Sus scrofa: one gene and its partners. The protein of the gene in region 2 interacts with the protein of the main gene of each other region in a pairwise test. Links are inferred from orthologs where the notes say so. Each region holds a gene or a part of one and is shown on either strand. Other genes may lie near its edges. The genes, in order: TXN2, PPCDC and FOXR1.

What was found.
Region 1: the proteins of PPCDC (region 2) and TXN2 interact in binary tests that used the Homo sapiens proteins (3 or more experiments, as listed by UniProt). The two-hybrid records come from large-scale screens. The link is inferred for Sus scrofa from reciprocal best matches to the Homo sapiens genes PPCDC and TXN2.
Region 3: the proteins of PPCDC (region 2) and FOXR1 interact in binary tests that used the Homo sapiens proteins (3 or more experiments, as listed by UniProt). The two-hybrid records come from large-scale screens. The link is inferred for Sus scrofa from reciprocal best matches to the Homo sapiens genes PPCDC and FOXR1.

Annotation. Positions count from the first base shown.
Region 1 is NC_010447.5:11,263,332-11,267,558, reverse strand, and holds the start of TXN2 (thioredoxin, mitochondrial), read right to left. Parts: upstream 2,921-4,227; 5' UTR 2,884-2,920; coding exon 2,845-2,883; intron 2,117-2,844; coding exon 1,854-2,116; intron 1-1,853.
Region 2 is NC_010449.5:58,525,287-58,528,930, forward strand, and holds the end of PPCDC (phosphopantothenoylcysteine decarboxylase), read right to left. Parts: exon of another isoform or gene 3,181-3,644; intron 1,361-3,180; coding exon 1,192-1,360; intron 772-1,191; coding exon 686-771; 3' UTR 221-685; downstream 1-220. UniProt on the Homo sapiens protein: Catalyzes the decarboxylation of the cysteine moiety of 4-phosphopantothenoylcysteine to form 4'-phosphopantotheine and this reaction forms part of the biosynthesis of coenzyme A.
Region 3 is NC_010451.4:46,207,330-46,211,572, reverse strand, and holds the start of FOXR1 (forkhead box protein R1), read right to left. Parts: upstream 2,824-4,243; 5' UTR 2,490-2,823; coding exon 2,429-2,489; intron 1-2,428. UniProt on the Homo sapiens protein: Transcription factor which acts as both an activator and a repressor.

The DNA of each region.
Region 1 (4,227 bases), on a different chromosome or scaffold from region 2:
AATGAGCCTAGGCTGTCATCCTTAAGTGTGTGGCACTAAGGACAGTGCCTGGCACTGAATCAACAAACTCACCCCTGCTTCCTTGCTGGGGAAGATGAGGCATGTGTCTCCTCCCCCACCCCAAATCATTCATTTGGGAAGCTCTCTCCAATGTGCTCAGCAGACCAGGAGGGCAGGACAGCTCTGCCTTCCACCAACCCCTGCCTGATGACTCCTAATTTTTTTTTTTTTTTTTGCTTTTTAGGGCTGCACCTGCAGCATATGGAGGTTCCCAGGCTAGGGGTAAAATCAGAGCTGTAGCTGCCAGCCTACACCACAGCCACAGCAACTCAGGATCTGAGCTGCATCTCTGACCTACACCACAGCTCACAGCAATGGCAGATCCCCAACCCACTGGCAAGGCCATGGATCCAACTCATGGATACTAGTCGGATTCATTTCCAATGCACCACAACGGGAACTCCCTGTGACTCCTAATTTATTCTCAGCTTTGAAGACCCTCTGCATTCAGAGATTTCAATTAATGAACTCACAACACCTAAAAGCCCCGTCTGCAAGACCTTAGCTCCTACCACACGTGAAGAAAGGGAGGCATAAGGTCATCACATGGCCTGCCCAAGGCAGCATGGTGAGTCAGAGAAAGAAGGCGAAGGAAAGCAAAAGAATCTGTCAGTGGTTTGCCCACAAGGTCTCCCAACTTCTAACTCAGGCTCCCATTTCAGGATGCCCCATTCTGTCGTAAGCCACACGGGAAATCCAAGGATGCCCTATTCTGAAAGGTTTGTCCAGTAGTTTTAGAACCAGGCATCCAGCCAGGCTCCAAAGGTCTGGAAAGGAAGAAGGCCAACAACAACAATAACAACCGAAAAAAAAAAAAAAAAGGCCAGACCGACAACCAGAATGCCATAGGCATTTAAATATCCTTTAAACAAACTCACAGGGCACCAGAAAGAAACTCCTGTCCATCCAGTGCACGCTTGGGCACCCAACTGTTAACTTTTATCAGTGGAACTGACAACTTTTTGCTAGCCCTTCTCCGCTTGGGTGGCAAGATGTTAAACACAATTATCTGCAGAGTCAGGAACTGGTAATATACCAAAAGCCAGATGATACTACAGCCTTATTTTTCCTGCTTTGGTCCAAGCTAAAGATGACCTGAGCCACTTGGGCAGTGAGATACAGAACATAACTGTTTCACAGCACTATTTGGAGTTTTTCTTTCTTTTTTTTTCTTCCTTTTTTTTCTTTTTTCTTTTACAGCCACCCCAAGGCATATGGAGTTCCCAGGAGGGATCAGATCCAGATCTGAGCTGCAATTGGGACCTACATCGCAACTGTGGCAACGATGGATCCTTGAACCCAATGCGCTGGGCTAGGGATCAAATCTGTGGCCTGGAGCTGCAGAGACAACTGCTGCCAATGCCGTTGTACCACCATGGGAATACCCACGGAGTGTTCTGAAGACTGAAGATTGTTTACTAGTCTGCCTCTTCCTTTCTCTTTTGGGCCTCACCTGCAGCATATGGACGTTCCCAGGCTAGGGGTCAAATAGGAGCTACAGCTGCCGGCCTACACCACAGCCACATCAACACCAGACCATTAACCCATTGAGCGAGGCCAGGGATCGAACCCACATCCTCACGAATACTAGTTGGGTTCTCAGCCTGCTGAGCCACAACGGGAACTCCTACTAGTCGGTTTCCTACCAAACTACACTAATCTTTGAGATAAGGGATTCGGTCTCACCGATCTCTATGTGAGAAGCATCAAACATAGTACTGAGACATAGCAGGTGCTCAATAAATACCAGAACAAGTGACACCCAGTCTTCTACTGACCCCCCCAGGACTCACTGTGCATGGAAATCCACAACCACTGGCGTCTCACTGTTGACAACTCGGTCTTGAAAGTCAGGTCCATCCTGGATGTTAAAGGTTGTTGTACAGACCTGGGTAGTGTATAATGACCGGGCTTGGCTGGGTGTTCCTGTCAGGTTACTAAGGCTGAGCTGTGGGGTCTGCAGGGCTCTGGAAGCGAGGGGTGCCCACCGACTATGAGAGGGCTTCCTGGAGACTACAGAGGCCAGGAACCTCCTCAGGAGAAGACGCTGAGCCATCTGTGAAGGGAAGAGGTAGGAAGAGTAGGGGCAAAGAACAGGAAGTCAACACACCAGAAATCAGAAAGGTATGTGGGAGTACCAGGGGGCTCAAGATGCAGGGCCAGAAACAAAATGTTGGGAAATAATACATAAGACTTCTGGAGGAAAAGTGAGTAAAGAATGAGAATCAAGGGGAAAAAGGAATCGAAAACCAGGATGGGAAAACTAGGTCGACAACCCAAAAAGCAGGATATTGGTGAAATTACAACAGACGGAAGGGGGGAAGGAATCAATATTTATGGAGCACCTGCTAAGAGATAGGTATCTTACAGGCATTAGAGTCCTCCCAGATCAACGATGAAGAAGTTTCTACTGTACTACTGCTCATATTATAGATAAGGACTTAGAAGCTCAAGCAAATTGTGACATATCCAAAGCAACCCAATTATTAAAGGAGAGTCGACACTAGAGCCCACGACAGTCTGAAAAGTCCTTACTCTATCGATTACTCTTTTAAAAGGAGTTTTAATGGGAAATTAAAGACAAAGGAGAGTTGTCAAAGGTTCAGGAAAGAAGACAAGCAACAATTCAAATAGGAACGAAGTGACACGGGAGCAGGTGGGGGGGGAATTAATAAAGAAGGGACGTGTGTGTGGAAGGAACTGGGAACCCCGGCTCCCCGAATGGCAAGTTCCTCCCACCCAGGGTTTCTGCCCGCTCGGCCATCGGCCTGCATGGGAACGCGCCTGCAGAGGCGCCTCAGCCGCGATACCACTTCGAACCATCCCCACAGGGCCCCTACCTCCCAGCAACGAGAGCGAAGCGACGCACAGCACGGCCCGCCCCACCGGTCAAGGGCACTTCTGTCGTCACTTCCTGAGGGGCGGGCCTTAGCGTCACTTCCGGGAAAGGCAACCTGAGCAAGTCCTCAACTAGAGGGCAGGCACGGGCGGAGCCTCCGTTAGGGACCGGAAGAGAAGCGTTCTTGAAAAGAGACACCGGAAGATGGGCGGGCTCTTAGGGGAGGAACCGGAAGAGGGGCGGATCATTGGGGAGGGACAGGAAGAGGCCGGAGGGCTCCGGAGGAGGGTCCGGAAGAGGAGGGGAAGGAGGCGGGAGTGCCAGGGAGGGGGGGGGGCGGAGAGAAGGGCGGTGGGGAGGCGTGGTCCTCGAGTTTGCAAACACTTGCTGACCAGCATGTCCACCCTTTTGTCTCATTGTCCTAATGTCGCTTCGAAGCAAAAGACTTCAGTTGGGAGTCCAGAGAACGCTGACTCGTATTTGTCATATGTGACTGTATAACTTCGTGGTTTCGAGCAAGTCTTCCTGCCCTTGGGGACTTCAGTTTCCCAAAATGTGACATGAAAAGCTCAGCTTGTCTTCCACCCTTGTCTCTTTGGGATTGCTGAGAAACTGGGCCCAGACAAGATGCCAACTGGTAGTGATACTTGGAGGGCCTGCCTCTGAGGCCCCAGGCAAAGTGTGATGATCCCTGAATCTACCTGGGCCTGGGCCTTCCTTTCTCACCCATTGTCGCTGTCATGGACAACAGGAGTCTAGGCATTTGTGTGTCTCAGGCTGGTCTCACAGCCACCCCTTGTCTCCCTTGCACCCTTTACCTATGTTAGAGCAGGAAAGGGCTGTGGGGTTTCAGAGCAGAAATAGAGGCAGAGAGTCCAGAGCGTTGAGGCTTCAAGTAGGTTTACTGAACAGAAGATGGCCAGAAGCACTGAGAGAAAGCACAGGCTCCCTGGTATTAGCGGGGGAATAGGTTTTATAGAGGCTTGTGGCTAAAGTAACCAGTGTCAGGGCTGGCATCAGGCTACATGGGAGGGGTAGGAGGAGAGGTGAGGGGTTGTAACAATGTTCCATGATATGGTGGGAACTGAAGATTAGCAAAGACAAAATGCAGTTAGGGCAGTCATCATTCCAGAACAGGCTGCTCTTGGTTGAACAAGATAAGGGAGTCGGCAGTTTGAGGGATTAAATCTGGCTCTAAGACCTTACAACCACTCATAACTTCTTATGGTTCTATGAATAAATCAATGCTTCTCCCTCCTCCCTGCCTTTGCTTAACTTGAAAGCCTTTTTTCTATGTCCACTCGGTAGAACACCTACTCATACTTCTT
Region 2 (3,644 bases):
AGCCACGTCCCACAGCTAGTACGTGGCAGAGCTGGGATCTGACGAGGGGCTGTCTGGCTGCAAAGGCCCTTGCCCTTAATCATCATACGACATGGGGACTAGGAAGTGCTGGTCAGCTGCCAGCCCAGACCCTTCCCCAGCCACAACTAGCGATGCCCCTAATCACCAAAACCCCGGACAGGCTGTAAAGGAAGGATGGAGTCATAAAGGAAGAACGGAGTCTCCCCAAAAGTCACTTTTCTTTATTCTCAGTACTCCTCTCACAGCATGGTCCCGCCAATTCATAGGCTTCCCTGTACCCACCAAAGAGCTGAAGCTCCAAAGGCCTGGGGATCACCAGCCGTGGCTCTTTCTAAAAGCAGTTCCTGGGCGCCATGGAGGATCAAGATTTCTCAGTCACTCCTAAGTCCCCTTCCCGAAGCACAGGCACAATACCGCAGCTTGCTCCTCGGACTTGCTGCGCCCATCCCAGGAAAAGCTGGAGAAGAACTCCAGAAAGCAGGTGGCTCCTGGTTGAAAGAAGTTGGGACCTGGGCCTTTGGTTTAGTTTAACCTGGGTCAGGTCAGATCCCTGTTCAGCAAATGCAGGGAGTCTTCACCCCATTTTGTCAAAGGCCACCTTCTTCACCAACTTGGCCTGAAAACATGCTGAGTGCGGAGGGACATGTGTGACGGAATCCCGGGTTCAACTCTGCTGGAAGCCACCGTGCTGGAAGAGGACTTCTTTCACTTTGTCCACAATGGTGCCCACCTCAGCCATGGCCCCCAGACCTGGGGAGCAGAGCTCTACTGTGACCCTGCAGACTGAGGCAGGGGACCATTCCCCACCCACCCCACCCAGTGCTCCCCAGTGCCCCACCCAGAGCCCGAGGCCTGGGAAGGGCAGGACCAGGGCTGAGCCAGACCCATCCAGTCCCTCCCACGAAACCCTCCGGACAGTCCCAGGAATGGTTACAGTAGCCATCTGAACTATGTGGGCTGCATGTCAGGGAAGATGCGAGGCATTTTACTGTCTCATTTAATCCTAACAACTCTGACAAGGAAGAATTTCCATTTCCATTTCCCAGATGAGAAAGCCGAGCTCAAAGGAGAAGGGTTTTACCTGAGGTCACAGCAGACTAGGATCTGAAGCTGAGCCCTGCCCCAGCCCCAGGCCGTAGGAATGAGCTGTGAGCCTGGCCAGACACCCACCTTGGTCTCCACAGACCAGCTTCTTGGCCACACAGGGGATCTCGACATAGCCGAAGGCCTTGAGCTGGCACACCTGCTGCTCAGTGAGGGGGTGCTCCCACATGGCAGTGTTCATTGCTGGGCAGAAGAGCAGGGGCTTGCTGCGGTCCCAGGCCCGGATGACACAGGTCTGTGAAGAGGGGGGTGGGGGGACTGTGGGCTCAGTTTGCTGTCTGTGGAGCTGTCTCAGCCTCGGGGTGGGGCCATGTCCCCTGGTCCTCTCACCTCCCCACAGGCTACACACAGGAGATGCTCTACCAACTCTGGCAATGACCCAGCCACTTCTAAGCAGACCTCTCCTCCTGTGCAAACAAGGCTCCCTGTGCCCAAGCAATGTCTTCCCCAGAGCCGGCCCTTGCAGACAGAAGCAGCTCACAGAGTCCTCAGTGCCGTGAGCTTTGCAATCACGTGGACCTGGGTTCAAATCTTGCTGCGCTATCTGCTGTCACTAGCCATGAGAACTTGAACACTTGTTCCTTCACGCCAGGAGTCTCAGCTTCCTCTCTGCAAAAGCCCCCTCACCGAGCAGTCATGAGGACAGAGGGTGTGTGCTCACTTATAAAGCTCTTCGCACAAGGCCTGGCACAAAGTATGGCCTCCAGAAATAGTAGCTCCTGTTATTATAACAAGGATAGGGGTGTCTCGGGGAGAAATAAGCTCTGAGTCCCCTAGGAATGTGCTCCCCTGGGCTCTGACTGCTCCAGGTGCCTCTGCCTGGGCTGTGGACCCTTTAGGGAGATAGCGGCTGACACACCCTTTCCCTGAAGTGGATCCTGTCTGGGAAAAGAGGGGGAGTCCAGACAACAATGCCACAAACAGGCCAGAGAAAATGCCTGTCCTTCTCAGTGCCCTTGCCCTCTCCTAGGACAGGAAGGAAGTGGGACAGCACACAGCCTCAGGATCTGGCTGCTTGCGTCGTCCCAGACACCAGTGTTTGTTTCCCACCCAGTCCTCGTAATGAGGCAACCAGGCTATGAGTGGACAGTTTCAGTCCACACTTCCTCTTGGCCACGTGCCACCTGCTGCTTCTGTGGAAGTCATGAGCATCCCTAGAAGAGCCCCTTGACTGTGTGGGAGGCAGAGGCAGGGCTGGGGTTTCTAAAGGCGCTCAAAGCAAAACACACCAGCCAGAGCACAAACCCAACATCTCCATGCCCCCCCACCTCTCTAGCTTTTCCCACCCCATCTCAAAGCTCAGCGTTTCCTGGACAAACCACAGCTCCTCCAAACCTTCCAGCAGTAGGAGGGCTGAAAGGAGGCATCAGTTCCCACAGTCACTTGTTTGGCCAATGTTGTGTGCAGCACCTCAGGCTCTGCCCCTGGGAATCCACTTGGGTGAAGAGAAGCCCTGGATCCGTGTCAGAAGACCAGCTCCCAGCTGGACTGGTGACCCAGGAAAGTCACCTTCTCTTTCTGGATCTGCTGCATTACTGAGAACAAAGAAGGGCCAGAGGACAGATGCACCTCACCCAGGCCCAGGGCCCAGAGATTGGGAGCACAGGTTCATGCCTAGCACGCTGCCCTGATAGCACCCCAAGTTCTGGATACTGGAAAGGAAGAAGACCTGAAGGAGGGAGGAAGCAGGGCAAGTGTCTTTGGGGGTTATATAAGGAAAAAATATCTTCTGAGAGAAGACAGAGCCACAGATCATGATGGCAATAGTTTAAACTTTATAAGACTTGAAGTTCTTTGGAGTTCCCGTCGTGTCTCAGCAGAAACGAATCTGACTAGCATCCATGAGGGCGCAGGTTCGATTTCTGGCCTCGCTCAGTGGGTTAAGGATCCAGCGTTGCTGTGAGCTGTGGTGTAGGTAGCAGATGTGGCTTGGACCCCACATTGCTGTGGCTGCGGTTATGGCATAGGCCAGCAGCTACAGCTCCTATTCGACCCTTAGCCTAGGAACTTCCATATGCTGCGGGTGCAGCACTAAAAAGCCAAAAAAAAAAAAAAAAAAAAAAAAAAAGCTCTTCAGTTCTTTGAAGTATTTGTGCCTTCAAATGCAACCTTTGAGGCCAAGGGCCTCGGGGCTCATCTTGAGAACATGATCCATTGCGCAGCCAACTCAGTAGGAGGGAAACCCTAAAGATTTCAGGGAGTGGTGAGCTTTGAAGAAAAGAGGAAAACAGCTTTCAGAAGGAAGGAAGGAGACCTCACAAAGTTGGCCAGACCGGGGCTTAGCTCCTGGAGGTCAGTGTGCTTTGTCACATCAGCTGGCTGCTCGCCAGCCGGTGGGAAGCCTGGAGATCTGGTGAGACGGTGCTGGCTACACACAACACTCAGCCAAGAAGATGAAAGTGGCCGGGAGCCTGACCTGCTCCAGCCGCCCTGCCAGCCTGGCACCAGCCCCACTGGGAAGGCTTCTTGACAACATTGCCCCTAGGCTCGCTCTCCTCTGTGCTCCTTTGCCCCTGCCC
Region 3 (4,243 bases), on a different chromosome or scaffold from region 2:
CAGAACAGAATTCCTGATTTTCCTCCCTCAACCATTCTACCAGAAGCTTCCCCCATCTCAGTCCAACTCCATCCTTCCACTTGATCAGCCAAAAACTCTGAAGGAGTCATCCTCTAATCTCTTTTTCTTAAACCACACATCCAATCCATCAAACAAATCCAGCTGGTTCTACCTTCTTACCATATCCTCTGCCACCACCCTAGTGGTCCAATCTGCATAATTTGTAGGGCCCAGTGCAAAATGAAAGTGTGGGGCTCCTTGTTCAAAAATTATTAAAGTATATATATATATATTTTATGGCTGCACCTGTGGCATATGGAAGTTCCTAGGCCATCGAGCCACAGCTATGACCTGAGCAGCTGCAGATTTTTAACCCACTGCACCACAGTGGGAATTATAATCTTAATGATTTTAAGATTATTAGTGATAGCAGAAGATTAAACCAAGTTAGGCATCCTATCACACACTCATTCCTCCGCTCCAAACCTTTTCGCCATTCAGAATCTTACTTAAGGTCAATCCCAGTGCCCCCAGAGTGGAAGAGGTCTCTTCCTGATCTCTGCTCCACGCCTCACGAGTCTGAACTCTCCTCTTTATTTACTTTTTTTTTTTTTTTTAAGACCCACACCTGCGGCTTATGGGGTTCCCAGGCTAGGGGTCAAACCAGAGATGCAGCTGCCGGCCTACATCACAGCTCTCAGCAACTGAACGGATTGAACTGGCGTCCTCATGGATACTAGTTGGGTTGGTTACCACTGAGCCACGATGGGAACTCTGTCTTTATTTGCTTTGATTCCGGCCTCACTGGCCTGTTAACCGGTTCCATAAACACTTCCAGGCATATTCCTTCCTGAGGGCTTTTACACAGGCTATTTCTTCTGCAATAGAGTCTTTTCCTCTAAGTATCCTCCTGGCTCACTACCTCACCTCCTTCAACTCTTTTCAAATATTTTTTTCCCAAATCAGACCAGCTTGATGACCCTATTTAAAACTGTAGCTTCTACCACTTCCTCACCCTGATTCCAGAGACCTCTTACAGAGTCCTTTAAAAAACAACAACCCATCTCAGCTATCATCTTATAACATACTATATAAATATTTTAATGTGGATTGTCTGTTTGGCCCCAGTAGAATATCAGCTCCATGAAGACCTGTCTGTTTTGTTCATTATGGATCATGTGAGTATCCAGAACACTGCCTGATAAATTGGAGGTACTCAATAAATATTTCTTTTAATCAGTGAAGACAAAGGAATGTCATTACTTATGATGGCAAAGAGTTCCAATGGAGTTTTGTCTCCATTAGGAAGGTGAATTAAAATGCAAAGGTGGAGCTCCCATCATGGTGCAGTGGAAATGAATCCGACTAGGAACCACAAGGTTGAGGGTTCAATCCCTGGCTGTGCTCAGTGGCTTAAGGATTTGGCATTGCTGTGGCTGTGGTGTAGGTCTGCAGCTGTAGCTCCTCTGATTGGACCCCTAGCCTGGGAACCTCCATATGCCTCTGGTGTGGCCCTAACAAGCCAAAAAAAAAAAAAAAATATATATATATATATATATATATATATGCAAAAGGTAGTAAATGCAGATGATAGAATACTACACAGCAGTCAGAAATGATGAACCAGATCTCCATTAAGCAACTCAAATTACTCTCAAAAACAATGTGAATAGGGAAAAAAAACCAATGAGCATTATGTAAATTAAGGTCACCTATAAACAACAAAATGCTAAACAGTTTTCAAAGATACACCTATCTAAGGACATTAAATGGATTAGGGTAGATACTTGAGTGTGTGGGAGGCAGCAAAAAGGGTGGATTGAAGGAGGAAAATAAATTAATCCAAGCACTTTGCTGGAACAGAGGCAATCATGTACCAGGAAAGTGGGAGGTGATTACCTCAACTCTCAACACTTGAGACCAAAGGAAAAAATAGGTATTTTTACAGACAACAGTCAACTACCCATTCAGCAAATACTGAGCACCTCAAGGTGTCAGACATGTATTAAGAAGTGGGATACAGCGATGAACAAAATTAACAGAAGAAAATTTTTGAAGAGACAAATGAGCGAAATACGCGACGGGTCCAAATGGCGTAGGTGCCACGGGGAAAAGGCAAGAGGCCTAGAAGGTTCTGGGACGGAGCCGGAAAGGGGGTGGTGGTAAGGTTTAAAGGTCGTTTTCAGGCAGGACCCCTGCCCTCCGTGGGCTTTCGGTCGAGGCGGAGACCCCATAGCCACTTGGAAAAAATGGGGGCGGGGTGGAGGGGGCTCCTGGGCTCAGCAAAGGGGGCGCGGGGCCCCAAAAGGCGACCTCATCACGGGGCTGGGGGGTCGGCGAGAAGGTCAAAGGCCGAGGAATCCGCTCCCACGAGCCCCCGACCCACCGCGGCGCGCCCCTCCCCCACGGCCCGAGCCCAGACACTTACGGTTCTGTTCCGCTAAGGGCAGGTGAGTCGTGGTGAAGGCCAGAAAGGACTCGTTCCCCATGTCCCAGTCCAACAATCCTGGGACCTGGCCATGGAGGCTGGCCCAGAAGTCGAGGTGCTGGAGTTTCAGGTCCACGTTTAGAGAGAGGAGGGAGAGCCAGCCACAGGGTGGGCGCGAGTCGGGAGAGACTGAGGCTGAGGCCTGGGAGGCACTTCCTCAAATCCCCGCGCTCTGGGATGGAGTTAGGTTGGAGCCCGCTCAGGTGTGCAGAGTCCCCATCTGACACCCTTGATCCCGGGCCTCTGCTGAGTGCTCCACGCCACGTCTTTCCGCAACCCCGCACGCTTTCAAAGGGGGGTTTGGGCAGTTTGGGGGTCCGGAAGGGAGGTATCCCAGGCCCTCTGCCCAGTCTACATTTGCTCCAAGCCCTTATTTAATTTAGTAAATCAGTCTGTCATTTAAGAATGAACCCGCAGTGGTATGAAAAGCTACTTTCTAGGAGTTCGGAAGATTTCATGGTTTATCCACAATCGCATCTGTTAGTACAGGGTGGAGATAGGATTAAAGGGTGATTTTTATGATTTGACTTGATGTGATTTTGGGATGGTGATTTTAAAATCTTGTTTTTAATTTCAAATTTACAGAAAAGCCCCAAGATTACTATAAAAAATGCCAGTATTTTTTTTTTAAAGGGAGTTCCCACTGTGGTGCACCAGGTTGAGGATCTGGAGTTTTCTCTGTCCTGGATTCCATATCCACTCTATATGCCCTAGCAGCTGTTGCATAGGTCGCAGCTGCAGCTCATATTTGCTACCCACCCCACTCCTGGGGAATTTCCACATGCCCTGTGTGCACCCCAGAGGTGGGGAAAAAAAATTCCAGTATACCTAAATCCGGTAGGTCACCAATTACACCAATTATTATTAATGTTTTTTTGTCACATTTTTGTTGTTCTCTCTGTGTAAGAGGTATGTTATTTTTTTCTGAACTACTTGAGAGTAATTTGCAGACCTCATGTCCCTTTACCCATAAATACTTCAATGAATATTTCCTAAAAACAAGGAAATCCTGTTTCTCATCAAGTTTGGACCCACTAATTCGAGCATCCATTTATGATTCTTTTTTTTTCCATTTTTATTTATTTATTTATTTATTATTATTTTATTGTTATTGCCCCAATACAATTTTTTTCCCACTGTACAGCATGGGGACCCAGTTACACATACATGTATATGTATTTTTTCTCACATTATCATGCTCCATCATAAGTAACTAGACATAGTTCTCAGTGGTACACAGCAGGATCTCATTGTTAATCCATTCCAAAAGCAATTGTTTGCATCCATTAACCCCCAGCTCCCAATTGATTCCACTCCCTCCCCTTCCCCCCAGGCAACCACAAGTCTCTTCTCCAAGTCCATGATTTTCTTTTCTGTGGAACGGTTCTTTTGTGTTGGATATTAGATACCAGATATAAGTAATATCATATGGTATTTGTCTTTCTCTTTCCGACTTACTTCACTAAGTATGAGAGTCTCTAGTTCCATCCATGTTGCTGCAAGTGGCATTATTTTGTTCTTTTTTATGGCTAATATTCCATTGTGTATATATACACACCATATCTTCCTAATCCAATCATCTGTCAGTGAACATTTGGGTTGTTTCCTTGTCTTGGCTATTGTGAATAGAGCTGCAATGAACATGAGGGTGCATGTGTGATTTTAAGGAAAGTTTTATCTGGATATATGCCCAGGAGTGGGGTTGCTGGGTCATATGGTAGATTTATGTATAGTTTTCTAAGCTACCTCCATACT